4 linked regions of the Elephas maximus indicus genome follow. The protein of the gene in region 1 purifies or fractionates together with the protein of each later gene. This does not show direct contact. Links are inferred from orthologs where the notes say so. Each region holds a gene or a part of one and is shown on either strand. Other genes may lie near its edges.

Evidence for each region.
Region 2: the proteins of MMS19 (region 1) and BRIP1 purify together in Homo sapiens (affinity purification with western blotting; 3 studies listed by BioGRID and IntAct, with this or other methods). This does not show direct contact. The link is inferred for Elephas maximus indicus from reciprocal best matches to the Homo sapiens genes MMS19 and BRIP1.
Region 3: the proteins of MMS19 (region 1) and PRIM2 purify together in Homo sapiens (affinity purification with western blotting; 5 studies listed by BioGRID and IntAct, with this or other methods). This does not show direct contact. The link is inferred for Elephas maximus indicus from reciprocal best matches to the Homo sapiens genes MMS19 and PRIM2.
Region 4: the proteins of MMS19 (region 1) and PRIM1 purify together in Homo sapiens (affinity purification with western blotting; 3 studies listed by BioGRID and IntAct, with this or other methods). This does not show direct contact. The link is inferred for Elephas maximus indicus from reciprocal best matches to the Homo sapiens genes MMS19 and PRIM1.

Annotation. Positions count from the first base shown.
Region 1 is NC_064834.1:49,246,406-49,254,098, reverse strand, and holds the start of MMS19 (MMS19 nucleotide excision repair protein homolog), read left to right. Parts: upstream 1-4,672; 5' UTR 4,673-4,717; coding exon 4,718-4,829; intron 4,830-7,693. Other genes in the region: UBTD1 (ubiquitin domain-containing protein 1), read right to left, coding at 3,793-3,862; translation initiation factor IF-2-like, read left to right, coding at 3,885-4,312, 4,408-4,648. UniProt on the Homo sapiens protein: Key component of the cytosolic iron-sulfur protein assembly (CIA) complex, a multiprotein complex that mediates the incorporation of iron-sulfur cluster into apoproteins specifically involved in DNA metabolism and genomic integrity.
Region 2 is NC_064837.1:33,843,776-33,851,037, forward strand, and holds the start of BRIP1 (Fanconi anemia group J protein), read right to left. Parts: upstream 3,001-7,262; 5' UTR 2,957-3,000; intron 2,474-2,956; exon of another isoform or gene 2,388-2,473; intron 1-2,387. Other genes in the region: INTS2 (integrator complex subunit 2), read right to left, coding at 6,706-6,875, 6,988-7,164. UniProt on the Homo sapiens protein: DNA-dependent ATPase and 5'-3' DNA helicase required for the maintenance of chromosomal stability. Acts late in the Fanconi anemia pathway, after FANCD2 ubiquitination.
Region 3 is NC_064819.1:123,099,812-123,106,839, forward strand, and holds the start of PRIM2 (DNA primase large subunit), read left to right. Parts: upstream 1-4,026; 5' UTR 4,027-4,126; intron 4,127-4,985; 5' UTR 4,986-4,994; coding exon 4,995-5,148; intron 5,149-6,962; coding exon 6,963-7,028. UniProt on the Homo sapiens protein: Regulatory subunit of the DNA primase complex and component of the DNA polymerase alpha complex (also known as the alpha DNA polymerase-primase complex) which play an essential role in the initiation of DNA synthesis.
Region 4 is NC_064822.1:116,653,877-116,661,101, reverse strand, and holds the start of PRIM1 (DNA primase small subunit), read left to right. Parts: upstream 1-4,218; 5' UTR 4,219-4,333; coding exon 4,334-4,436; exon of another isoform or gene 4,437-4,455; intron 4,456-5,103; coding exon 5,104-5,261; intron 5,262-7,047; exon of another isoform or gene 7,048-7,225. UniProt on the Homo sapiens protein: Catalytic subunit of the DNA primase complex and component of the DNA polymerase alpha complex (also known as the alpha DNA polymerase-primase complex - primosome/replisome) which play an essential role in the initiation of DNA synthesis.

The sequences.
Region 1 (7,693 bases):
TCATAGTGACCCTATAGGACAGAGGAGAACCGCCCCATAGAGTTTCCAGGGAGCGCCTGGCAGATTTGAACTACTGACCCTTTGGCTAGCAGTCGTAGCACTTAACCACTACACCACCAGGGTTTCCTAAGTCTGGTTAGCTTTCTAAAATCAACAAATATTGATTGCTTCCTCTGTACTGGTCATTGTGCTAAGTGATGTGTGTGTGTGTGAGTGAGTGAGAGACAGAGACACACATGGATAAGAATAAGGTAGAACCCAGGTCTTCAAGGCTTGCCATGTAGTTGCTGATTTAAGAATGTAAACATTAAAGTCAGGACTAATGACATGGAGTAAGTAATTGTTAAGTGGCATAGATAATGCATCTGCAGGAGTTCTCAGAAGCAGCAATCACTTCTGCTGGGGGACGATGTCAGGGAAAGTGTTTCAAAGAAGATAATGGGACTTGAGCTGGGCCTTGACGTGAAGAAGGCTCTTGATAAGAAAGGGGAAATGGCACAAACTGGTGGTCTTAATATTAGGGAAGAGGAGAAAAAAAAAAAAAAAAAGGTCCTGAAAGGGCAAGACTTGAATAGCCCTGAAAGCCAAAGTTCTTGTAGACAGCAGGATGGTACACATTTTTGAAAACAGAATCATAGGGTTTGGAACAGGATAAATGAGTGACGTCCCTAGGGTTGGTGTCATCTAATGTGGTAACTCATGGTGTCATCCCCCGCAACCCACTGACCTCCTCCTGTACCAGACCATACAATAATGTTTTTTGTACTGTTAACTTGTAAATCGTAATTCCCGTGTATCACTCTTTCTTTTCCTTTAATTACTACTTCATTCTCAAAAAAATTATTGATATAAGTTCACGAATACTAACTACCACAATATTGTAGCTAAATCACCAGAAAATTTGACAAAATCAGCTACTATAGAAACAGTGGCAGCAACAAAAACAACAGCGCATGCCTGGAGCCTGTCCAGACTAAACCACGTGATTCAAAGCATCATTGTAATTGGGTAATGATGACAGTTCTGACTGGAGAGCATTAAAACAAACAAACCCATTGCTGTCAATTCCAACTCATAGAAACCCTATAGGACAGAGTATAACTGCCCCATAGGGTTGCCAAGGAGCAGCTGGTAGATTCGAACTTCTGACCTTTTGGTTAGAACCCGTAGCTTGCTGTAGCTCTCAAACACTGAGCCACCAGGGCTCCGGAGAGCATTAAACCCGTTGTCATCGAGTCGATTCCAACTCACAGCAACCCTATAGGACAGAGTATAACTGCCCCACAGGGTTTTCAAGGAGCAGCTGGTAGATTCGAACTTCTGACCTTTTGGTTAGAACCCGTAGCTTGCTGTAGCTCTTAACCACTGAGCCACCAGGGCTCCGGACAGCATTAAATCTGTTGCCATCGAGTCGATTCCAACTCACAGCAACCCTATAGGACAGAGTAGAACTGCCCCATAGAATTTCCAAAGAGCGCCTGGTGGATCTGAACTGCTGACCTTTTGGTTAGCAGCTGTAGCTCTTAACCACTATGCCACCAGGGTTTTCCCAGAGAGCATTAGAAGGTTCAAAAAGTAAATAAGCATAGAGTTTTAGCCTTGTAGGCACATTGATACATGTAAGCTGGGCTTACAAAAAATGTTTTTGTTGTTATATCTAACTACAGGAATATTTTTATTTAAAACAATATATTTCTGCTAAAACACTCCACAAAAACTTTATAGACAGTCATTTTGGTGTCACCCCTCTGACAGTGTCACCAGATGTGGTCTGCATCCCCTGAACCCCTCTAGTGACACCAGTGGATTAAATTAAACTCCTTCTGGGGGACGACAGTGTGCAAGTACTCTGCATTGAATGAATGATTGAAGATGAACTTGCCTTTGGTGGTGAGCCAATTTGAGACTGGAACTGGATTTGAGGTGACAAAGCCTTGAAGTAGAGTGGGAAGGAACAGGTCTATAAGTCCTGCTGAAGGAAGAACCAGTAGACTCCAGGGACTAGCTGGTTGGGAGGCAGAGAACATGGAGGCAGAGAAAATCAGCAGGGAGACAAGGTACAAACCTAGGCAGCTGGGAGAATATAAGAGTAAGGAAGGGAAGCCGACTGAGGGGGAGAGATGGCAGAACTTAGTTTAAAAGATGTTGAATCTCCCAGGATATCTAGAGGATATGAACGTCTTTTAGAGAGGTGGAAGTGGGGATTAAGAGAGAAGTAACAGTAGAAGGTAACAGCACAGGGATCTTCTCAGTGGATAAAGAGTTGTGGGACTGAATAAGATTTCTCTGGCAGGGAGTGTCATGAGAGAAAAAACAGAATGTCAAAGGAAGCCACGGGTATGCCCACCCCTAGGAAATACCTGGCGGGCAGGTTGATCAGAGAGGAAAACCAAGCCAGTCTAATGCTAAGAAGGAAGGAAGGAGAGTTGCAAGTAGGAGACGGCTGTCCACAGTGAAAAATGCTACAAAATCAATTAATAGGACAAGTACATAAATAATAAATATTTATTGAATGAATGAAGGGAGGAAGGAAGCCTTTGTTTCAGAGTCAACTTTCTCAGAAGAATGGCTAGGATTGCCTTCAGGTAAGAAGATTTTAAGTTTTACCCCATTCTTTCTATAAAAACACATTTCTTCCTCCTCAAGTCATCCTGTCCACCACACAGACATCCTTCCCTGCTTCTTCCATGTTTTCCCCCATCCTCCTTCCCAGTTTCCGCACCCCAAGCAACACACCTTTGGCGTCAAAGGAGACAGGAAACTCCAGCTGGAGTTTCCACTTCATTAACAACTTCCCCTGTGGTTCCTCTTATATAAATGTTATGTGGCAATTGGGTGGAGAGGAAACTGGGTTCTAGCCCTAGCTGTGCTACTAACACGCTGTGTGGCTTTGGGCTAGTTGCTCAACCTCTCTGGGTCTGGGCTTTTGGATATAGAGAGAAGACGGTAGGTCTATCTGGAATCCAGACATGTTTCTAAAGTCCCCTTCAGCTCTTAAGTCTACGATTTTATCATTCTCAGAAGGTCCTTGCAACACTCTTAGAGAAGGAAGTGAGTACAAGCCCTGGGGAAACGGCGGCCAGACCTCTTCCCGGGGCGAATTGCCAGGATAGGAGGGGTGTACTAAGAAAATGAGAAGGCGCTGCCTGGCCCTCGCGGATCATCAGCGAGCAGATCCCATTCTCAAGGCTGGGAAGGATCTCAACAAACCCGAGGGAGATTCTCACCCCTCTACCCCACATTTCCTAGACCCCAAGACGGCCAGGAGGTTTTAAAAAGCCCTGCGGGAAAATAAAGATTTCTTTCCCAGAGTCCTGCGCTGCTTTTGCAAGTCGGATTCTTGCAGACACGATCTGCAAGCCCGATAATGACACAGACAGTCTTTGGAAGGACTGACTGCTCTCGCCTCGCTCGCTCCGAGTTCTGGGGACGTCCGGCTGCCTGCGCCCGACGGGCAGTCGTCCGACCCCGGCCCGGGTGCCAGGCCAGCGGCGCCCTCGCCCCGGGCCCTCCCCTCCGTCGGCCCTGTGGCTGTCTGCAAACATTTCCTGCCCCCACCCCCACCAAGAGCTTCCCGGCTGGAGCGACTTGGTCTAGCAGTCGGGTCAGCGCTCGCAGTTTCCCCAACTCAGCTCCTCCGGCCACCCAGAGCTGGGGATGGCTCCCGAGCAGCCATCGGGGAAACCTGAGGCGCCAGGAGCCGTGGGTGGTCGCTCGAGACGCCGGGACTCTGGCAAGGAAGGGGGACAATTGGCACGGTGCCCGTGGCCCTGCTCCCTTCCCCGTCGTTACCTGCTCGCTTGCGGGGGTGTCCCGGGGCGGCCGGCCTCTCCCGGCGCTGTCTCCCCACGCAGTTGCCCATGCTGGCTCCTCAGCCAGGCCCCATGCACCGGGGGCGGCGGGGTGGGCGGCTGCTCCGCGCTCCTGCCTCGGACAGCGGCGTCCCGGGTCAACGGCTCCTGCCGCCCCGCATCGGGCGCTCCCCGGTCTCCCCCCCGGGGGCGCGCTCTGCCCAGCGCCGGCTTCGCCACAAACTTTGCGGGCGAGGGGAGAGAGGGAGGTGGCCGACTCCCCAGCACGGCCCCAGGTGGCCGGGCCAGGGGGGTCCGCGACGGTGCCCGGCCGGAGACCAGCTCCGCCGGAGGGGCGGAGAGAGGGGGCGGGCACCACCGCAGCTACTCCGGGCTCGCTCAGGGCTCCCAGCTGAGGCCGTCCCCCCGGAGCCTGTCACTCACCTGCCTAACCCCGCCCCAGCCCGGCCCCGCTCCCTTCCGCCGGCCCGCGGTGCGGGTGATGCCACCGCCCGCCCCAGGTGCGCATGTGACCGACGGCACCGCCCCCTCGGGCCGGGCCTGATTTTCTCATTGGCTTCTCGCGGGGTGCGTACCGCCCCCGGGGCCCACCCAGCCAGGTGCCCGCCCCATCTCCAGTCCCCTGGGAGCCAGGCAGGGAGTCTTTCGGCCTCAATGGCCCCCGCCTGGGTGCCCAGCAGCCGCTTTCCCACCCCGCACCACCGCCCCGACCCCAGGCCCCGCCCCTTAAGGAGGGCTGTCCCAGCCCTCCTTGGACCTGCCCGGCAAGGAGCCGGCAGGCACGTGACCCCGGGAGCGCCCCGCCCCTCCACCTTAGCCCGGTGATTGGCTCATGAGGCACATGCGCGAAAAGATCCGTTTCCTCCCACCGCCTACTTCCCCTCCCACGGTCCCTAGTTCGCGTCATGGCCGCCGCCGCCGCTCTGGAGGCGGTGGCGCCTACGGGCGCCCTGTGGGGCCTCGTGCACGACTTCGTCATGGGTCAGCAGGAGGGTCCCGCTGACCAGGTCGCTGCAGGTACGGCAGATGGCGCCGCGCGGCTTCCGCATGGGGCCAGCAGAAGGGAGCGGCCTCAACACAGGCGCCGGGCGGGAAGGGAGTGAGGAACAGAGGTGACTGTGAAAGACTGGTACCGAGGCTGGGTGGGGAGCACCGCGTGCTTAAAAGCTGTAACAAAACTGACAGTCTCCTGCATCTTCTTTACGCTCCTCGTTTTCCCGGCGGGCGGGATTAGGGTAATCATTACCATTTTACAGATGAGAAAACTGAGGCCTAGCTAGAGGAAGAGACCTGTGCAGGGCCACGGGTTAGGCAGGTGGGGCAGCTGGGACTGGCACCTGGGTCTTCCAGTTCAGAATCAGGTGCTTACGCCACGAAAGCACGTTGTCTCTGGGAGGTTGACGTGAGAGGATGCTCCCACCGCTGCCTCAGCTCCAGTCGCGTGGGATCTTGGGAGCGGCCGGGCGGTGCCATCTCTGACTGGCTGTAATTGGAAAGGGGAGGAGAGAAGCCCGGCTAAGGGGGAGCTTGACATGTTCACAGTACCCGCAGTTTCTTGGTACAGTTCTTGGTTAATTTGGTTCACGACTTTTTTACGTGGTTTTTGTTTTTTACCTAGATGTCCGGTTTCCTGCATTTGACCCATTCAGGGATCTCTTAGTTCTGACAGCTTATCTAAGATTTGAATAAAACAAATTAGAGGAATTTTGGGAAACCCTGGTGGTCTAGTAGTTAAGTGCTATAGCTGCTAACCAAAATGTCGGCAGTTCGAATCCACCAGGCGCTCCTTGGAAACTCTAAGGGGCAGTTCTACTCTGTCCTATAGGGTCGCTATGAGTCGGAATCGACTCAACTGTAACGGTTTTGATTTGGAATTTTGAGACTGCTCTTTTAGAAAATGTATGTACGGAAAAATTATGAAATATTAGGAGGGCTTCAGATTTCGGGTTTAAGTAATAGAATACAAACTAATCACGTGAGTACAGATGAGTTTGTAACGTTTTTAAAGTCTTTGGAAATCTTGCATGTTTGCGGGAGAGTAAAGGACATTAACGTTCTCTTGAAAACTGAACATACTAACTTTTAGAATATGTGGGAAGCGAATAAAGTGCATCTGCTAGAAAGAGTATTTTGTTTGATCCTTAGCAATATTCCACTTTCATTCAAACAGTCCACCATTTTTGAGCACATATTATTAACCGAACATTATGCAAAGCAATAAGAATATAAATATAAATTAGATTCGTGCCATTCAGGAACTCATATTGTGGTGGGAGGGACATCATGTAAATAGAGTAAGTGCAGTAGACATGAAAAGGGGCATAAGAAGTATGTTCATGTACCACGGAAGCAGCAAAACCCATTACCGTCGAGTCGATTCCAACTCATAGCAACCCTGTAGGACAGAGTAGAATTGCCCCATCGGGTTTCCAAGGAGTGCCTGGTAGATTTGAGCTGCCAGCCTTTTGGGTAGCATCGATAGCTTTTAAGCAGTACGCCACCAGGGTTTCCATGGGAGCGTGACCAGAAACCCAGTGCCCTCGAAATGGAAGCGTGAGGGAGCAAGTAAATGCCCGGTGCTGCCATTCCGCTAAGTGTGTTAGTGCTTACAACATTTTAACATGTACAGTGTGTTATCAATGCCATTTTTTCCAGTGTTTCATTTATGAATTTTTTTCAAACATACAGCAAAGTCTAGAGATTTTTATAAAGAACAGACATATCCCACTGCCTGGAGCTACCATTAACATTTTAATATACTTGCTTTATCATGTAACTGCCCATCTATTTTAACTGCAGATATAAATAACACTTCCCCTAAGTACTTCAGTATGCATATCATTAGAGTTCAGTATTTGTTTGCAGTATCTTTTTCTTTTACTCATTTCAACAAATACCACTTCCCCTAAGTACTTCAGTATGCATATCATTAGAGTTCAGTATTTGTTTGCAGTATCTTTTTCTTTTACTCATTTCAACAAATACGTATACTTGTATAATCCAGAATCCTACACTGTAAAGATAAAGAACATTACTGTGTCAGTGTCATTTTTAACTCTTTTTTCACATTTATACATTATGGAAACAATTTTTGATTTTTTCAGATTCAGAGCACACTTTGAGAAGACAGCTTGATAAGAACTGTCAAGTTATCATAAACATGTTCGTAAAACTTACCTTTTTGTTTATGCCTGAAAAATGGCTTAAACTATTATCTAGTTTAAATTTAGCTCACCTAAGATTCTGTAGGTCGACGTTCAACCATTTCAGGAGGTACCATATGAGCAGGAACCGATGGTACTGACGGAAGAAGTCCAAACTGCACTGAAGGCATTGGCAAAAAACAAGGCTCCAGGAGTTGACGGAATACCAATTGAGATGTTGCAACAAACGGATGCAGCCCTGGAAGTGCTAACTCATCTATGCCAAAAAATTTGGAAGACAGCTACCTGGTCAACCGACTGGAAGAGATCTATATTTATGCCTAGTCCCAAGAAAGGTGATCCCACCAAATGCGGAAATTATCAAATAGTATCATTAATATCACACACAAGTAAAACTTTGCTGAAGATCATTCAAAAGCTGCTGCAGCAGTATATCGACAGGGAACTGCCAGAAATTCAAGCGGGATTCAGAAGAGGGGGCGGGACCAGGGATATTATTGCTGATGTCAGCTGAATCGTAGCTGAAAGGAGAGAATACCAGAAAGATGTTTACCTGTCTTTTATTGCCTATGCAAAGGCATTTGACTGTGTGGATCATAACAAATTATGGATAACCTTGCAAAGAATGGGAATTCCAGGATGCTTGATTGTGCTCATGAGGAACCTGTACATAGATCAAGGGGGTATTGTGTGGTTTAAAGTCAGAAGAGGTGTGCA
Region 2 (7,262 bases), on another chromosome or scaffold:
ATAAAAACTGGAATTAACAAATATATAAACAAAACAAATAGAAGCAAAAGAGTTTCTGTCAGTTTGTTATACTGTAGTGGCTTGAGTGTTGCTATGATGCTGGAAGCCATACTACCAGTACTTCAAATACCAGCAGAGTCACCCATGGTGGACAGGTTTCAGCAGAGCTTCCAGACTAAGACAGACCAAGGAGACAGGCCTGGCAATTTCTTTCTGAAAATCAGCCAATGAAAATACATTATGGATTGAAGTGTGTCTCCCAAAAATGTGTGTTGTAAATCCTTACTTCTATACCTGTGGTTATAATCCCATTTGGGAATGAGTTGCCTTTATTATGTTAATGAGAAAGGATTAGTGTGGGGTGTATCTTAAATCAATCTCTTTTTAGATATAAAAGAAATTAAACAAGGAAGTGAGAGAAGAGATATTGGGGGAAGAGAGATGCTAAGCCACACAAAGATCACCTAGAAGCAGAAGCTCAAAGAGACAAGGACCTTCCTCCAAAGCCAACAGAGACAGAACGCCTTCCCCTATACCTAGCACCCTGAATTTCAACTTCTAGTCTCCTAAACTGTGAGAAAATAAACTTCCATTGTTAAAGCCACCACTTGTGGTATTTCTGTTACACCAGCACTAGATAACTAACACACGTAACAGAACATTGTCTTACATAGTACAGGCAGATGAGCCCTTCAAGCTGGAAAGCACTACACAATAGCCACAAATGGACTCAAACACACCAACAATCAGGAACATGTCCCAAAACTTGGCAACTTTTTGTTCTGTCGTACACAATGGTGCCATGAGTCAGAGCCAACACAACAGGAAATAACAAACATAAAATCACAGCGTTGGAGAACACGGGCCTTGTAGTCTGACAAGTCTGGCTTTGCATCCCTGCTCCGCCATGTATTAGTGGTATGACCTTGGGCGAGTTACTTCCCTAGGCCTTGGTGTTCTCATCCGTAAAATAAGGACAGTAATAGCATCTACCTTATAGGATTGTGGAAACAACTGGTGGTACAGTTGTTAAGTGCTATGGCTGCTAACCAAAAGGTCGGCTCCTTGGAAACCATATGGGGCAGTTCTACTCTGTCCTATAGGATCACTATGAGTCAGAATCGACTCGATGGCAATGGGTTTGGTTTTTTTTTTTTTTGGTTCATAGGATTGTTACAAAGATTAAATGAAATAATGTGCTAAAAGGACATTAGGTACCCAATTAAACATGCGCTCTTATTACAAATTTGATCAGATATAATCGATCTATAGAGAGAGATTCCTGATCTTTCCAACTCCATAGCACCACTCTTTTTCTCCTCCTATTCTGTCCCTTTCTGTTTTTCCTTTCTGCAGTCTTCTGGTTAGAAGGAAAAAGCTGTGGACCAGCAGTCGGGAAGTTTAGATTCTAGGTCAGGTCTGACAGCAACTCAGATGTCTTTTCACTTCTCTGTACTGAGACCCTTCATTGTAATAATCTTTAATTTAAAAGTTGCTGTAAGGAAGAAAGTGCCTTGGAACATAGAGGGTGCTCAATAATTCTTATTTAAAGGTCAGTAAGGTAAGGTACAGTGCTACGACTGATAACCAAAAGCCTGGCAGTTCAAATTTGCCAGGCGCTCCTTGGAAACTCTATGGGGCAGTTCTACTCTGTCCTATGGAGTCGCTATGAGTCGGAATGGACTCCACGGCAGTGGGTTTGGTTTTTGGTTTAAGGTATGGTGGAAAGAGGATGGGCTCTGGAGCAAGGCAGACCTAAATCTGAATTCCACTATGTTACACAGTTAACCTCTCTTGAGCCTGTTTATTCATCTGTAAGATGGCAATAATACTAACTACCTGATAAGGTTTTCATGTATATTAATAATATTTAGTCAAGTACTGAGTTAAGAATTAAATAATGTACAGAATGTGCCTAATCCAGTATCTGACACAGAGAAAGTATTCACTTTAATGCCGCCTCCTCTAACCACTGTTTTTAACCTCGGATCTCTATGGGTAATTCAGAAACTGTGACCTCTTGAAATTGCATGCAGAAATTTCTGTGCATGATTGCACTCTTCTGAGGAGAAAGTCCATAGATTTCTCACTTCCATAAATATATCTTAAGGAAATAACTGAAAATAGAGAAAACAAAAGCTGAAAATGTTATCAATTGAGGAATTATTTTGCAGTAGCGAAAAAATGGTAACTTCAATCTAGGGGTGGAGTGATGGTTAAATTATAATACAGCAATACAACAGATTATGAAGCCAGTAATAAACCTAATCACAGCTTGTGTTGTTCCGAAAGTTAAGAACCAGTATTCTACTAAAGTACTTTCCATTTCTAAAGTTTTGTGATTCTTTCTATAAAGCTCTAAGAACGGGATTTGGTGGAATACTAACCTCAGTGCGAACCAACAACTCAAGGCCACCGTAGTAACTCAGCTTTAACCTAGAAATCTATCCATCCCAGCCCAGCTGTGGCAACGCGCATCTCGTACACGGGTAGCTCTCCCCGCAACATTGCAGAAAGGGCAAACGAACCGACCGCCTCCTGGCGCCCCCTCCCGCCAAGAGGTAACACGGAAACCCGGGCTAATCACCGCTCCAGGGCGGCAGGGAAGGGGTCCCCTTCTACCCAGGTTTTCTTCCCCACGCTTCCCTCCTCTCACAGGCAGTTGTGATCCCCAAGGACCAGGTGATCCAGTCAACACCGATGGGCCTGCAAAGGGACTTGGGCAAAAACAGAAGGCACCCCCCCCGGCAGGCTTGGCGCCCCCCCTCGGACAGACAGGCTTGGCGGTCCTGAGGAAAACCGAAGCAATACTGATGCACGGGAGAAAAGGACGCCGATTTCTGAGAGCAAATCATGCGGAGCCCTGGCAGAGACGAAAGGACACAAGCCTCCACTCTCCCCCTTCCTCAGGGGTCGCTACTCCCCTCTCCTCATCCCGGATTCGGGGCGGCTTTACCTTTTCTCCGCTCCAAGTCTTGTGAAACCCCCTCAGCAACACCGTTTCCGAAGAATTCCCGCCTCCCACCCCTCGACTCCCAGCACCCAATCGCCGAGCGAGTTGACAGCCAATCACCCATCTAGAGCGGAAATCAAGCGACCAATCCTGGCGCAAAAATAGTCGGCGGGCGCGCTGAACACCCAATCCACGCCTCCGAGATAAGAAGAGCCCCAAGATACTTGGCGGCACCGGAAGGTAAATCAGTAGAAAAGTGAGCTGCAGCCGCAGATATTTGGGCTTTGAAGGGAAAGCGCTTTCTCCGCTTGACTTTTGAAATCGGTGATTTCACCCCGGCACCAGCTTCCTTGGAAACCCGAAATCTCACTCTTAAAGTTTGTAGAGCAACGAAAAGGAAACGCCTTGCCGAGTTCTCTGAGCATTCGTTAGTGCCACTCAGTTTAAATTTCCGAACTTGACAGTAGCTGGAGTATCAAAGACTGTGAGGCAAATTAGGCGAAACGGTTCTAAGACAACTGGCTACAGTATTCAAGCCTTAAGTCTCCGAGGCTTTTCCCGATGGCCAGATTCCGCTGGGGGCACGCTCTCGACGTCTCCAGTCCCGGATTCCTTCTACCTCCACTGTGGCTTACCCACCTTCTACCCCTCCGGAGACCAGTTTTTTCTTTGCCAAGACGTATACAAAGACGAGGATAATCATGATCTCGCCAAATGATGCTTATTTTTAAAAAGTATTTTTTGTACAACCTAAACTGAGGGCAAATACTGTCGTTAGCTGCTCTGGAGTCGGTTGCGCCTCACAGGGAGCCTGTGTACAACAGAACGTAACACTGCCCGGTCCTGCACCATCTTCGCAATCAATGTTTGAACCCCTTGTTGCAGCCACTGTGTCACTCCAACTCCTTGAGGGTCTCCCTTTTTCACTGACCCTCTACCAAACATGTTCAAATACTAAACCAACAAAAACTAAAAAGGAAACCTTGGTGGCGTAGTGGTTAAGTGCTAGGGCTGCTAACCAAAGGGTCAGCGTTTAGAATCCGCCAGGCCCTCCTTGGAAACTCTATGAGGCAGTTCTACTCTGTCCTATAGGGTCGCTATGATGTTCAAACACTGGTGCCCCACAAAAACAGAACCTGACACAGCCTCTCAAATTTAAGTAACTAGAGTTTGAGGAGGGGAAGGTTCCTGGAGCAAGGGATGAGAAGAAGGCAAGTTGATCTGTTTGTCTTAGTTTTTTTCTACATCTTCTCAAAACGTCAAAACTTGTAGTCATAAAAATAAGTTCTATCCTTTCACCTAATAATCTCAGTCCCAGAAATTTATTCTAAAGTAACCTAAAAGTGTTCATACCTCAGTTGATAGTAATGCATATTTGTAATGCTGAAAAAAAAAGATAAACTTCCCAGAATAGTGATGGTGAGATGATTGTGATTATGAACTCAATAGATTATAAAGCCAGTAATTATAAAAGCTAAACAACTTGTAGGGAAAAATTCCATGTAAAGTTAAATGGAAAAAAGCAGACTCTAAACTGGGCATTAGGAATTTAGTTATGTGAAAATATGTATGCATAAACAAAGATGAATGGAAAGTACAAAAATGTAGTTTACCGTTAGGCCAGTGGAAGAATAATGCCATTGATTTATAATCCATTAAAATACCTTCTCTGCTTTCATAAATTTTTTATACATCAAATCCTTTAAATAACTATTCCAGGTAACTACTATAATTTTCCTTTCCTAAATTCCTAAGGCTGTCAACTGGCTTTAACCTGGTATTGCCATTTAATGTATGTGGCATAACGGAAAGAATACACATAGGCTCTGAAGGCAGACAGTCCTAGATGCCGGTCCCTTGAACTGTGCTTTCAGGTTAACAGTAGTGGAATTAAACACAACAAAATTACAAGTTCATTGATAAAGAATATGAATGTTTATAAATCAATATTCAAAATAGCTGCACACATCTGTTTTCACTTGAATAAAAAAATCACATTATGACAAATTTTATAACCTTAACTTAAAATACATGAATATTAACATTTACTAACATATTTACATATTTTTACATCAACAAATCTGAAGAAAAACAGGATATGTTACTATTTTAACACAGCTGGTTTTGACCAGTCTTGGAAAGTTGATCCAGGAATGTGCACTGCATTTAGTTAGAAAACATACTTCAACCTGTTTTGAACTCCTAGAGGACACCTACTCACACAGAATATTCCAAGGCCCCAGTTTAAAAAAAAAGAAAAAAGGAGCAGTTTTATTTAACCTTAAGGGACTACAAAACTGCTTTGTTTAAAAATATGAAAAGTCTTATGGTGTTTTTTAAGTGTATGCTTTTATTTTTCCCATAAAAATTAGTTAATTGAACATTAAACATCTACTAAAAGCTATAAATATTCTGTCATGTATGATACTTCATGATTTGAAACAGCTACAAACTAGTTCTTATATAACACCCTTATGAGGTAGGGCCAGTAGTGATCCTATTTACAATGGAGTCAAGTAAGATGTTACTATTCACTAGTTTAAGGTTGAAGTTAAATTTGTTTTCCTAAAAACCACATTTTCTTATTACCTGCCCAACTTACTTACTTACTGTTATTTTCAAAACAGTGAAGAGATTTGGTTTTTTTTGGGGGGGGGGGTCATTAAGGTATTTCTCAGAAAGCAAAGTACCTGAAACACTGGACACCTAATTTTTTTTTTAAATGAGGATTATAGGTTACCTGAATACCTCTACTTAATCAATAGAAGTTACCAGCAGAGGACTGCAAAATCTATTGGCAAGACGGTATTTTCCATATTTTAATTTTTCCTGAGGTTCAACACTATATATATTTTCCTACTCAAAGACCTTATCAAAGTAAGATATGAATTATAATCCTAATGACAAACCAAGAGCTCTTTAATCCAATGAGTTTTATTGCTCTAAATTGTTTATTTTCCCTCTCTGAACATTAGATAAGTTAATCATTATAAAAATAATTAAAAAAAAAAAAACTAAATGAGATCTTTCAGGTTCTTTGCACAAAGATGATTCTTAAAATCCCAAATTATTCAAGTATCTCCTTAAACCTATGGCTTCATATATTAGTAAACTTGAAGCAAATATGTAAAATCTTTAAGTTCTCATCTGTAATTCCATGAAAATCATTATAAAAATTATTTGCCTTCTTTAAAGCCTTCTCAACACTGTTTATTGAGAATTGGAATTCCATCTTGCATTACTATAACTTGCACTGAAAGTCTTGGAGACTTCCATTTGGGTGTTTAACTCCTAGTTTTTCCTGAATTCTCCCTTCCCTTGATCCCTTCTCCCTGCCATCACTGCAGCATTGTAGCACTCTGTTAGAAGCTGAAAGTTAAAATAAACACTAGGGCTACCCAAAGACTCATTTTTATAAGAAATCAAATTAAAGGCATGGAAGTCTTTCTTCACTTCTAAATCTAAACATGCCAGATTCACTTTGCTGTAATGAGTTTCTTAAATGTGCTCCCAAGGGGGGTAAAAAAAAAGAAAGTTCAGCTGCTACAGTATAAACATACCAGCAAACTAGATCCAAAGAACTGTCAGTCATATACAGGCAAGCATAATTCTCAGAGAGTTCTATTCATGTTGAATGGAATCATTTTAGTGATTCCAAGATACTACTATTCCCATCCAGTTTAACATTTGTTACAAGATGCAGACTCATGTGGGTATATGCAACAGCTTCATTTTTTGCTTTAATTTTTTTTTTAAATTCCACTAACACTCATGTTTATTATTTCAATTATTGTGCTTTCAATACAATGACAGAGCTGCACATCAGGATCCATGCTTCCAGTGTCTCTAGATCCATTTTTATAAGATGGATCTTTACAGAGTCCAGACCATCCACTTGGTTTCTCCTTTATTTGTTGAAGACCTAAAAACATAGGAAAGAAAAATAAATTAAGGCAAGAAATCTGGAAATGATTTTGGCCCTTTTTTTTTTTTTGAGATATTAAGCTAACTCTTGAGAAGAAGTTACTACTTACGTGTAATAATTGGATCGATGTCTCTTGTCTGAGTGGCCACATCAGAGGCACAGACTTGCCCTATTTGGATCAACAAAGACATAATATCCTCATACAATGGAGGAAATGCTCGACAGAAAGAAACCAAACTTGGCAGAGTTGGCATGAAAAAAGCGTATCGCTTGGCTTGTGTTAAAACTGTTGGAAAGAAGTGAAACAGAATTTTTTACTTTACAGATATCTATATATACAGATATATATACAATATACTAAGCACCATGCTCTGTGCTGAGGAT
Region 3 (7,028 bases), on another chromosome or scaffold:
TCTTGCTTCATGAGGAGATGGCAAAATTCAAAGTCATCTGTCATCAGTAAGTGCTGGACACCATTTGAATGCCCTGTCTCAGCTCAGAGGTCTTGTCAAGCTGGTCCCCATTGCTGTTTTGAGACCACACTTGGAGAAGGGTAATATTTAATAAGTTTGGATACCTCAGGTGTAGGTCCTACTTCTTCAGGCAAATCCTGCAAGGTCATTTAAATTTTCTTAAGGTCTGCATTCCAGGTTTGTTCAGGCAGCTCATATCAGGGCTTGGAACTGGTTCTTCCCAGTTCAATCATGGCTGAGGAAGCCACACTGGAACAGACTCGAATTTTAAAAATTTGTGTGAACCAGAACCATAACCAGAATGGGAAAAATTACTGGTTGAAGCCCTGCTAGAAAGCTAACGTCTTTCTTAGAAAGCAAGGGCAGTGTGTGCAATGTGTAGCAACCAAATCTCTTGCCTGTTCTTCCATTTTGCAAAACTGTGTTCCTCCTCAAAGATCTCAAAGATCTGGTGGTCCTACCATGCTGCTTTGGATGTGAGTTGCTCTCCTCAGTCCTGGCAATAATCCAATTTTATGTATCAGGCTCCTGAAATTGCTCACTATACCACCTGTGAGTCTCCCCTTCCAGGGTTTTGACGCATAATTTTTCCTGTCCCGGTTATGGTTCTGAGTCACCCAAATTGTAAAATTCAGGTGTCCTCTAGCTTTGTTTCGTCAGCTATGATTGAGTCAGTTCAAAGTCCAGGCTCACACGCTTTCAGTTGTCTTCTTTGGACCAGTTGGTGTTACTTATGTGTCTGATACAGATAGGAAGGAATGAAGGTGAGGTTCTGCTGTCATATTAATGGAATTATTATAGTGTGATGGTTAGTACTGCAGTCCTGGGGATCAGCCTTCCTGGCTTCTAACCTGGCTCTGTCACTTACTATGGGACCTTTCAAAGTTACTTAACTTCTCTTTCTTTTGTTTCCTTATCAGTAAAAAAAAAAAATATATATATATATATGTATACATATAAAAATATGTAGACATTTTGGTAAAATGGTTTTTTTAAAATTAGTTTTTATTGTGCTTTAAGTGAAAGTATACAAATCAGGTCAGTCTCTCATACAAATATGTACATACACCTTGCTATACACTCCTAATTGCTCTCCCTCTGATGAGATAGCACAGTACGTCCCTCCACTCTCTCTCATTGTGTCCATTCGGGTAGCTTCTGGCCACCTCTGCCCTCTCATCTCCTCTCCAGACAAGAGAGGCTAACATAGTCTCATGTGTTGACTTGATCCAAGAAGCTTGATCTTCACTGGTGTCATTTTCCATCCCTTATTCCCGTCCAATCTCTGTCTGAAGAGTTGGCTTTGGGAATGGTTCCTGCCCTGGGGTAACAGAAGGTTTGGGGTTCATGGCCTCTGGGGTCCCTCCAGTCCCAGTCTGACCATTAAATCTGGCCTTTTTATGAGAATTTGGGGTCTGCATCCCACTGCTCTCCTGCTCCCTCAGGGTTTCTCTGTTGAGTTCCCTGTCAAGGCAGTCATCTGTTATGGCCAGGTACCATCTAGCTCTTCTGGTCTCAGGCTGATGTAGTCTCTGGTTTATGTGGTCCTTTTTTGTCTCTTAGGCTCATAACTATTTTGTGTCTTTGGTGTTCTTCATTCTTCCTTGTTCCAGGTGGGTTGAGACCAATCGATGCATATTAGATGGCCGTTTGCTAGCGTACAAGACCACAGACGCCACTCTCCAAATCGGGATGCAGAATGTTTTCTTAATACATTTTATTATGCCAATTGACTTAGATGTCCCCTGAAATCATGGTCCTCAAACCCCCACCCCTGCTACACTGGCCTTTGAAGTGTTCGGTTTATTAAGGAAACTTCTTTGTTTTTGGTTTAGTCCATTTGTGTTGACCTCTCCTAAAATGAAACTTATGTACTATCTAATTAATGAATACCCCTCTCCCTCTCTCCCACCCTCCCCCCCCATAACCATCAAAGAGTATTTTCTTCTCTGCTTAAACTGTTTCTCCAGTTCTTATAATAGTGGTCTTATTCAATATTTGTCCTTTGCAATTGACTGATTCAGCTCAGCATAATGTCTTCCAGATTTCTCTGTGTTATGAAATGTTTCATGGATTCAACATTGTTCTTTATCGATGCGAAGTATTCCATTGTGTGAATATACCATGGTTTATTTATCCATTCATCCGTTGATGGGCACCTTGGTTGCTTCCAACTTTTTGCTATCATAAACAGTGCTGCAATGAACATGGGTGTGCACATATCTGTTCATGTAAAGGCTCTTATTTCTCTAGGATATATTCCAAGGAGTGGGATTACTGGATTGTATGGTAGTTCTATTTCTAGCTTTTTAAGGAAGTGCCACATTGATTTCCAAAGTGGTTGTACCATTTTACATTCCCACCAACAGTGTATAAGTGTTCCAGTCTCTCCATCAACCTCTCCAACACTGATTATTTTGTTTTTAGGATTAATGCCAGCCTTGTTGGAGTGAGACGGAATCTCATTGTAGTTTTTATTTGCATTTCTCTAATGGCTAATGATCGAGAGCATTTCCTCATGTATCTGTTAGTCACCTAATGTTTTCTTTAGTGAACTTTTTTAATTGGGTTATTTGTCTTTTTGGGGTTGAGTTTTAGCAGAATCATGTAGATTTTAGAGATCAGGTGCTAAAATGGTTTTGATAATAGAACCCACCTCATAACATTATAAGAATAAAATGAAGTGATGGGTAAAATCACTTAGAATAGGTCCTGTACAAAGCACTGTCATATGCAGTTAGGTCCATGCTCCATAGGTGCTTTGAAGCCTGATATTGTTTCAATATATTCCACATTTCTAAGGACTCAAACATTTCAAAGCACTCTTCACCCCCAAGGACTTAACCAGAGCCTTCCTCTACCACTTTTGTAAATGAGACAGCCTTCTAGAGGCCACCAGTGAAGTTTATTTCCAGCTTTTGAATATCCTACTGATAGTAGCCAGAGAGCTAGGCGTGGGTCTGATGCGCAGCTTCTGAGGCTGCAGTGTGAGATTCAGAAAGTTCATGGTGAATCCAGTTTCTTCCTGGCACTTGCCACTTCTTTGATCCTGTCTTCTCTCCTAGCCTGATCTATCTCAATTTTTGTAGACCCAGAGCGATTTCTGCACGTGTGCATTTATTCAATCGTTTTAGTTCATTCCACGGGTGTTTTGTTGGGCGCTTAACTATGTGCGAGGCACTGTGGGGAAAACTAAAGGTGAACTGAAAGTGGAACCTGCCCCTATGGGGCTTGCCGCCCAATAGAAAAAATATGTACTGTACATCGATGGGCAAACTAACGATTATTTTTTAGCTTCAGTTTTCTCATGTGCAAAATGGGGTAATATGAACTACTTTATAGGGCCGCTGAAAGACTAAATGGGAAAAAAATACAACCCCTAGAAGCAGAAACACTGGAGGCCTACTGGTTAAGAACTACAGCTGCTAACTTAAAGGTCAGCAGTTCGAATCCACTAGACCCTTCCTGGAAACTCTGAGGTGGTTCTACTCTGCCCTATAGGGTCGCTGAGTCCTAATCCACTGGACGGTAAGCGGTTTAATTTTTTTTTTTTGTGAGTTGGCTGCAAAAAAGCAGCTCAGTAAATGCCCCTTTTTCCTCCACTCTTCTCCCAGATTGAAAGTGATGAATGCCATAACTGCTTGTTAGAGCACATTTTCCTTAATTTATGCAATCTTTGTGAGTGTCCAAACGAAGTTATATTGGTTCATTCTTTAGCGTGTAGTAGTTTTGCCTTTAGTATTCTCTCAGCCTAGTTTCAATTGTTAAAAGCTACCAACTCCGCATGCATGAAGTGCGCCTTAAAATTTGGGAACCTCCCCGCCTCCAAATCTTCAAATACACTCGTACTTAAAAAACTTTGAGCTTTCAAAGCTGACCAAACAGCTTCAGCTCCCAGAAGCACCGCACTGAGCATGCGCAAAGCCCACGCTGAGCGGGCGGGACCTTTGGGGGCGGGCCTTGTGTACCAGTTGTTTCCGCTTCCGGCTCCATACGAACTCTCCCGCCACCAGGGAAGGAATAAGTGTCAGCGTTTGTGTATTTCTCATGCTTGCTGTGGTTTCAGGTAAGAGAAACTCCTGCGTATTGTAGAACGGAGAGCAATCCTGGTGCTGAGGCTTGCAAGTCAAGGGGAAAAGGGGAGCACTTTGCGGGCGGTGGGAGCAGAAGGACTGATCGGTCGGGAATGGGGGTTTTGGTGGTTGGTTTGTGGCAGAGACGCGGGCACCGGTGAGGGTTGAGTGGAGATGGCTTCGCTGAGGTGGTAGGGGATCGGAGTGGGAACATAAAGGAACTTGTGGAGGCTCCCTCTTAAAAAAAAAAAAATTAGGGGCGGATTAACCAGTAAGCAAGGTACGCCCAGGCTTGCTTTTGTTTACTTGCTAATCTGTAGTGCACGATTTCACCACATCTTTGATGTGAAAAAGGTGAAATTGTGCACTACAGATTAGTACGTAAGCACTGGTAAGCCCGTGTGTACCTTGCTGATTGGGTAGTGGGGAGCCTCCACAAATCCCTAAAAGGATTTTCAAAAGACAGTTTTATTTCTCGAGGTCATACGATGGGGAAGTAATTGTACCTGGTTCATCAAGTCATTTTTCTGAGTTCGGGACTGCAGCACATGTACAACCTCACCTCTTGAGACTTATAAGGTGGTGGCACGTAGACCAGTTGTCAGCAGGCACTGTCACATGACATTCATGTTGCTGGAAGTTAGGATCACCAGGCTGAATCTCCCTCACCTTCCCCCCCTTTCACCCCATCACAAAATTATCACAGTTGTAGAAAAATCTGGAAAATACAGCAAAACATCACTGAGGGATACCCACTATTAACATTTTGTGCATGCTCTTCAACTTCAGACTTTTTTCTGTGCATGTGGGATTATTTTGTTTCTTGTAACTTTTTATGTGCTTCTTTCCAAGGTAACCAAGATGGAGTTTTCTGGAGGAAATCGGAGGAAGCTGAAGTTGGCAGGTGACCAGAGAAATGCTTGCTACCCTCATAGCCTCCAGTTTTACCTCCAGCCGCCATCTGAAAACATATCTTTGATAGAGTTTGAAAACTTGGCTATTGATAGAGTTAAATGTGAGTAATATTTAAATTAGAATTCATATTTTCTTCAGAAGCTCACTTACGTTTTATGGGAATGAAGTTTTTTCCCCTTTTCAGCAGTTCATTCAGAAGATATTTACTGAGGATTTGCTATTCATTCATTGTACTGTACAGTGCTTATTTACTGAGTGCATGTTTTAGATGGCAGAGATTTTGAGATGAATACTATAATTCCCATCTTCATTGAAGCTGTATCCTTGTACATGGAGACAGACATCCAAAATAATAATCATAATTCAAAATTTTAAATACTCCAGTAGAGATAAATAGTAGTGCTAACAGTTCTTGAAGCACAGAGTTGGGAATGACTGACTTAGTCTGATTATCTGTGCTTCTTAGAGAAGTTGAAATGTGATCTGGACCTTGAAAGATGAGTAGAAATTTCCTAACAGAGAGGAAATTAAGGGTTTTTCCAAGCTGCGGTAACAGCCTGTACAAGTGTTTAGAGGCATGAAAGAGAATGTAATATTTGAGGGAACAGCGACAATTTCAGGGTAGATGAAGAAGTATGAATAATGGTGGTATCTTGTGCCATGCTCTTGTATAATATTGCGGTGTAAGAAGGATGCAGCATGGATGAAAGGAGTGAGTTAGGCAGGAACTGAGGCAGAAATACTAGTACTATCTTCATACTTATGTCCCATCATATCTTTGTGGGAAAATCCAAAGGAGAGGTGAGATACTGGTAATCATTCTTGGAGGAGTAGGATGAGAACTGCTAGTATAGAGAGAGGCGCACTCAGTACCTGTTTATTGAATTAAAGAGTGAAGGCGTGGAAGAAAAGCGTTTTAGGAAGGAAGTGTAACAGAGCCAGATGCTTCATAGGGATTAAAATGATTGAAAAGCGTTCCTTGGGTTTGGCACTTAAGAGGTGAGATGGTAAGCGCCTGAACTAATGTACTGACAATGACAGTGATAGGGAGAGATTTAGGGATACTTTCTGAGTTATGACTGGTAGGATTTAGTGACAGTTTGGATGTAAACAGTGAGGGAGCAGGTGGGAGGTGGCTGAAGTTCCTACCTGAATGATCTGGTGGATAGAGACTCTGCTTATATGAAAATGGGGAATGCAAGAGGAGGAGGAAGATTGAGGGGAAGATAATTTGGTTTGAGACAATTAGGAGTTGCCTATGGGACGTGAGTTCATGTACAGAAGGCAAGGTTTTCGTTCTTGAATTAAAAAAAAATCCTATTGAGGGAAGTAGAATTCATTTGGGGAAAATGGACAAGGGGCTTTAGGAGGAACCTTTGACTAGTAGGTGACATTTATTCAGAATTGTTCTTTTGGGTGATTGGCTGGCCTTGCGTCTTCACTGTTGTGTCTGCTTCTTCTCTGCATAAGAAAAGAAAGGATTTTATTTTTTGGTCTCTTGTAAGTAAACGAAACAGACCCCTAATAGACAGCTCCACATGAAGGATGTAAACAGTGGTGCTTAAGCTCCTTTCTCTCTTGATATACCTGAAGAGTACATTCCTTTCCTTATCAACAGTGGCTTAGTATTGCAGTGATTATCCACCATTCCTCCCTTTTCCCTGGTTGAAAAGACATGGTATTAGATAATGCTGGATGCTGTGGGACATGGATAATTTCTGCAAGTAGACCGAGATTATCCTTCTACAAGCGTATATAATTTATATAACATACTTGCAGAAAATAAAACTGCTACAGTGTCCTTTATAAACAAGCAATTGTGGAACTGCTAAAGGATCCTAGATTTTATTTGTTTTGGATTATTATTTTTTTAATTATCTTCCCTTGATGTCCTTTTTCTCTTTCTTTTTTTAGTGCTAAAGTCTGTTGAAAATCTTGGTTTGAGCCATTTGAAAGGAAGTGAGGAATACCAGAGTAAGT
Region 4 (7,225 bases), on another chromosome or scaffold:
TATTTTTGGTTTTTGGTGTGGAAATCATGGGAACAGGTGCACTCAATATCTGGGTCCGTTTATTCCAGTAAAAGGATAACCTGTGCAGGATGACAAGTGATTTCTTAACTGAAATAACTCTGTTCTGGCAGGAGCTCTGAGCCAGAGGTGGCCATGAGAAAGTAAGCTTACCAGTTTGCAGAAATCAAGGAGATGACACCGGACATGTTCCAAATTGTGGACTGGGAGCCTGGGCCAATCTTATCCAAGGCATAAGGAACATGTTGATGCCAACAGACGTTTGGGTTACAAATGCATCCATAACACTTCACTGCACTTTTTGATTTGTGTCTATTGCTCTGACTAGACTATAACGTTCTTGGGAGCAGAAAGCATCTCATCATTAAATTTTTCTCCCAAGAGCCTGGCAAAGTGCCCACATATGTTTATAAACTATTTGTGCAGTAAATAGATGACTTAAAGAGTGGCTGAATGAGCCATACTTTTATTGAAGAGATCATCCTTCTAGATGCTAAAAACACCCAGAATAACAGGTGGAGCTGAACTGGAAGGGAAGTCCATTAGGTAGGTGTCCAAATCTGCAAAGAACTTGGAGAGACAGACCTGGGACTGATAGATATTACAAAAACGCTAAAGAGGATGGTAAAGCCAGATAGTACAAGGCTTGAAGGAGAAAGGACTTTTGCACCTAGGTGGCCTAGAAATCCCAATGGGAAACAAACTGAATGCCAATACTGCCTCCTGGTGGCGTCTGGGATAAACGCCTCTATGCCGGAACACAAGGAACCTTGGTAAGCACTCAGCTGCTAACTGAAAGATCAGCAGTTCAAACCCACCAGGTGCTCCATGGGAGAAAGATGTGGCAGTCTGCTTGCATAAATATTACTACCTGGGAAGCCCTATGGGGCAGTTCTACTCTGTCCTACAGGGCCGCTATGAGTCAAAATCAACACAACAGCAAAAAATCATGACAGAACACCTTTAAGGAATAAATAGCCTTCTCACATTGAGTGGCTCTGAGTCATGGACTGTGCCAGACACTCCTTTAACTCTCATAACAACCCCATGCAGACTCAGCATGTAGCTTAGGGGTTAAACGCACAGGCTCTGGAGCCAGGCTGTCTGGCTCCCCACTTACTAGCTGTGACCTTGGACAAATTAAGTTTTCTATGCTTATTTCCTCATCTGTAAAAGAGAAATAATACTAACACCTACCACATAGATTCTTATAAGGAATAAATTCTTAAAATGGTACCTGATGGCATAGTAAGTGCTATATAAATATTAAATATATATATAAATATTAGCTATTATTATTCCCTTTTTCCTGATGAGAAAACTAATGTTAAACAAACCAAGCATATAGCAGGAACTCAATAAATATAACTTCCTTTCCCTTCTCCCCTTATGTCTTAGCTCCTTACTTAAGATATTGTCCTCCTTAGCAACCCTGGAATTTAAATAGGGGACTCCTGAAGAGCCTAAAGAAGTCAGTTCCTAAAGGTAGCAACAAGGAAGATGAGAAATTTCCATTTGATGGGAAGCTGAGAAATCTCCATTTAAAAGTCCAGTGCGCATCGCAGCACTGTTCACAATTGTCAAAAGATGGAAATAACCTAAATATCCATCAAGAGATGAATGGATAAACAAAATGTGATCCACACATACAATGGAATATTATTCTGCCACAAAGAGAAATGAAGTCCTTATACATGCTACAACACGGATGAAACCTAAGAACATTATGCTGAATTAAATAAGTCCATGACAAAAGGACAAATATTGTTTGAGTCCACTTACATGACACAGGCAAACGCACAGAGACTGCAGCGCAATGGATCACTTTCATATGGCCTTTCTCACCATGGTCTTGTATCTCCCACCCAAGTAACTGGGTGAGAGTATACAAATAAGGTAATTGTGGCCCACCAAGAGGATTGGATAGCTTGCTAATAATGCAAATAAAGTTCATGGCACCCCTGTGCAGGTGGGACCATGCAAATGAGGTCTATGGAAAACTAACAAAAGGACTGGTCAGTTTTGCCATCCCACTAGCCTTAAGATGAGCCATCCCAGAGGCAGGAGGAGAGGATCTCACCACTGCTAAGAAGAGCCAGGAGTGGAGCACATCCTGTGGACCTGGGATCCCTATGCTAAGAAGCTCCTGGAATCAGACCAAGAAAAAGAGAAAGAGAAAGCTGTAACATGAAGATGGCGAGAAGTGGCAGCAGAGAAACAAAGGCAGGAGTTGGCACAGTAGGCTTTCCAGGCCTACGGAGCAAGAAAGCTTAGTGCCTTTGAGCAGGAGTCTTGCTGGCAAAGTTGGGTGCTTCCTTTGTGACCCACGGAGCTAGAGGTGAGCCTTCCAGCAGGGGCTTACTGGCAGAGTGGTGTGCCTCGGGGCACTTATCAGCAGAGCTGAAAGTTTTGTAACACTTGCCCAAGCAGGGTAGAGCCTAAGGGGCCAAAAGAACTTTATAATGCTTGCCCAAGCAGGGCAGTGGGCAAGGGGCCAGAGAGAGGCAGGCATGGCTGGGAAGAGGCTGTCCTGATCGAAGAACTGTATCCTAAGCATTCCTGAACCTGAATTGTAACCTGTCACTTCCCTAATAAACCCATAATCCTGAGCATTGTCAATGAATTATAGAACTCAGCAAAGAAGTAGGGAGTGCCATGGGAGGGACAGTTGGTGTGAGAATTGATGAAGAGGGTGGAGGGTGGAGGCATGTGTGACCTCCACCTCACAGGAATCAGCCCTGGGCTGTTGATCATGATTCTCCTTCCTCCTTGTGAAATCAGAGGTTAGACGCCGCCCCCATGCCATTTTTAGAGAGATTGAAACCCTGGTGGCATAGTGATTAAGAGTTCAGCTGCTAACCAAAAGGTCGGCAGTTCAAATCCACTAGGCAGGTGCTCCTTGGAAACCCAATGGGGCAGTTCTACTCTGTCCTATAGGGTCGCTGTGAGTTGGAATCTGACTTGACGGCAACAGGTTTTTTTTGGTGGTTACCAAGGGTAGGAGGCAGGAGAGAGGGGAAGTCTTGGCTTAGGGGGCACTGAGTTTCTGTTAATCGTGGTGGAATAATCTGGAAATGGATCATGGTGCTGGTTGCACATGATAGAATGTAATCAGTATCACCAAACTGTACATGTAAAAAATTTTGAATTGATAAATGTTCTGTTATACAGTAAAATCTACGAAAGCCAGAACTTGTATAAGGTGAAAACCTGTCAGCAAAGGAAAACTCAAATACTTTCCACTAAAATGAGAGAGAGAAAAGTGGTAAGACTGCACCCTGTCAGAGACGGAAAAGTTGCAAGACCCGGAAAAACAAGGCAATCCCATTGAGTTCGGGTTCTCACAGGTTTCATAATTAAAGAATAAAAACAGTCCAAGGTGGATGTGGTTCCAGAAAGACCACTCTGCAAAGCATTCCTATTACTACTGGAAAAGTGAAGACCCTAAAGGCTCTGAAATTGACCCTACCCAAAACAGGATGCATAGGGGCTGTGAAAATTAACAATCAAGATTTGTGCAGGAAGCCAGATTTCTGGCAACATTAAAAAATATGATCTGCCCAGAGCCCACTGCAGACTAACTTGCCCACAGAAGCTGGGGGGTGATGATCATTTTCAAGATTAGGCTAATAAATCCATTTACGAAAGACTCTATTCTCTCCTGACTTTCCTACTATTACTGTGAAAATAATATTAATAATAATGGTTTTCAAGTGACAAGATACTCAACTAGATTATCAGGCTGCCCACCGCAACCCACATTTGCAATGAGATGTATCTTTTATTCAGTAGGGCTGATTGGCGTAACTGCCACATCAGTAGCAAACCGACTCTTTTCATACCCGTAAAGCTCACCATGATTCTGCAGGCTTCTCTAATTCATATTTTAGCGTTCCTGGGTGTTCTACTGAATTCAGCAATTCTTTGAAATATTAAAAGAACTAACTTCCAAACTCTCTTTAAAAAATGTCTGCATCGTTCGTTTTTTCTGAAACATTCATAAAGTTAGAACGGAATATCTTTATTACTCCACTTTAATAACCTAAGTCGATAAACCAAAAGTCTCACCTTTCAGAGACGTTCTTCCGGGAACGGACACTGTTTCCGCCCACGTGAACGGTGCTGTAGTGTCTGCGCGCCTGCGCCGAGCCCCTCGACTGGCCCATTCCCGAAGTAGAAACTACAAATTCCGGCGGTCCAGTCAGCCAGCAGGGCCCAGCGCGCCTGCGCAGTGACGGAAGCTTCGGCTGTACTTTTTTTTTACAGTTCCCGCCAATTCTTGGGGTAGTCGTGCTCTGGCATAATTCCGTGCCCCATGGAGGTGTTTGACCCTGCCGATCTGCCCGAACTGCTTAAGATTTATTACCGGAGGCTCTTTCCCTATGCCCAATACTACCGCTGGCTCAACTATGGCGGAGGTGATGCTGCGGAGAGCGGGTGGGTAGTGGGTTGGGAGGGCAGTGTAAGAAGGTTCTTGGCGGGATGTTCTCGGAATGACAATATGAAGTACCTCCTGCGAGCTAGGCATTGTGCCGGGCGCCTTGGTGCATTATCTTGAGCCCTCCTCACCTCCTCTGAGGCGGAAGGGGGCCGAGAGAGGCTACACTGATCAGCCTACGGACACACAGTGAAAGGCATAGCCGCTGCTCCTCCTCCTACGCGGTCAGGCTCACTTTAGGTGTCCAGTTGACCTGCCGCGGTGCCTAAGCAAGGGGGTTACTGGGTTGTAGCATGAAGGTACAGAGTCGTGATCTGTATCAGAGACAGAAGAGCGTCTCTGGGAGGAGGAGAAGTACTATCCTCTTGGCAGCTGATTTAATTTATTAATGCCTACCGGGGCGTTAGATTTTTAACATTTCTGCATTTTTTCTGCTCACTTTACTTTTCCCTAACAGTTGCGGAAGGATACATCCCTTCAAATGAGGTACTCTCTCTTGTCCCTTTTTTTTTTTTCCCTTTCTTTTTTACATCTAGTATAGTGTTGGGCACGGGGCTCACTAACTGTATTCTCATTTCTCAAATGCCATAATGCCCTGAACTGAGTAAGGTACCAAATTAGCTTTAAAATGTAAATTTCTTTTGCAGTGATAAAGAATTACTTTCAACACCGTGAATTTTCATTCACATTGAAAGATGATATTTACATTCGCTACCAATCCTTCAACAACCAGAGTGAGCTGGAAAAAGAGATGCAGAAAATGAATCCATACAAGATTGATATAGGTGCAGTATATTCCCACAGAGTAAGAAATCATTTTTATGTATTGTTTTATTTTCAAACCAAGGATGGGTTGGTGCCCCAGCCTTTGATATAAATTTTTAGAGTTTATTCAAGTTGAGGACCCATAATGTTTACTTAACTGCTTTTGCAGGTAGACTGGTAATCTTCTTTGTTTTTTGACATTCTACATTACTGACTGGAAATCGTTTGGGAGCGAATTGGTTACATTCCCACTAGGACAAAAAAATTTAGTATCTGGCTAAAAGACTAAATGAGGACGTCAACGTGGTTTAAGGGAGAGAGTAAAAAGTATTATATTCTCTTCCAGCATTGGTGTTATTCTTGACTCCTCTCTTTCTCTCACACTCCCACATTCTTTGCCTTAGGAAATCCCTTTGGCCCTACCATAATATATATCTATAACCCAACTACTGCTACCATCATTCTGTCTCACCTGTATTACTATAAAACCTAACAGTTTGCCTCTCCAGACCCTAAAATCTACTCTCAACACAGCAGCCAGAGTGATCCTCTTAAAACAAGTCAGATTCTGTGATCCTTCTGCTCAAAACCATTCTCCAGTGGCTCCCTATTTCACTGAGTGAAAAGCCGTTCTCTCCCTCTTACTCCACTACAGCTACACTGGCTCTTGCTCAAGCTGTCTCCACTGCCCAGAACACATTTCTCTAGATATCTGCTTGGCTCATTTCCTCACCTTCAAGTCTTTGCTCAAAGAGCACATTTTCAATGAGATCTGCTGCAACCTGCCACTCCTCCCACCCCCTGCCACTGACCTATCCTAGAATTGCCTAGAATAGTGGGTACCCCATAAATATTTGTCGAATACATGAATAAATCAGAATTGCTCTTCCCTTCTTTAAAAATACACACATGGGATGATAACTTTTGTATGGAGCTTTTTCGTATGCTGCTTAACTTGTTCCTCATATCAATCTTAATCTTTTTGCAGAGGAGAAAATGGGCCCAGGGAACTTAGTTTGCCCAAGGTCCCACAGTTTCTAAAAGATAGAGCTGGGACTTGAAGCCAGATTTTCTGACTCTAAATCCCAGGTTTGTCTCCCACCTGCAGAGTAAGGGGAAAAGAAGAGATAAGGAAAGGCAGGCAGCAAAAATGCTTCAGAACAGTTTACTGAAGAATAAAACTGAAGTCTCAAAAGAAGGGCCAGGATGCCATTCTGCTTCCTTGTCCCACTGAAGGAGGAAAAAAAAGTATCATTTTCTTATTGTGCCGAGAGAGGCATTTATAGACCTTTGTGTATGTGTTTTGTAAGGAGCCCTTGTGGCACTGTGGTTACGTGCTCAGCTGCTAACCAAAAGGTCAGCGGTTCAAACATACCAGCCATTCCACAAGATGTGACAGTCTGCTTCAGTGAAGATTTACAGCCTTGGCAACCCTATGGGGAAGTTCTACTTTGTCCTACAGAGTTGCTAATAGTCGGAATTGACTTGATGGCAGTGGGTTTGGTTTGGTCTTTGGTATGTGTTTTGTGATTTTTATCAGTTATATATGCCAATAGTTTATAGAATCAAGTAGTTCTATAGGCATTTTGAAAAAGTCTCCCACCTTTACCATCAGCTTCTGCTCCCCAGAGGCAACCACTTTATTTTAGCTGATTCTTATTTGCCTCATGTCTCTAAATAACATTGCTTATATTTCTTTCATTTTTCCATTTTAAGCATTATATATTGACTGTCCATCCTGGCAGATGAGGATTTAGCTTTCTTTCACCTCACCCTCTACCCTCACCACACACAAAACCTTCCCATGCCTAATTTATTATGCTCCTAATGTAAATTTTATTACTTTAAAATTTAGATTATAAATTCAACCCCAGACTCTTTGCCAGTTGTCTTCATCTCCCAATATATTCAGATCCATCAGGTAGTCTGTCAGTTTCATCTTGAAAACATTTCTCCTGGAGATTTCTGACCTCTCCAGTCTGGACTGATTACTGTTTAGGCCTG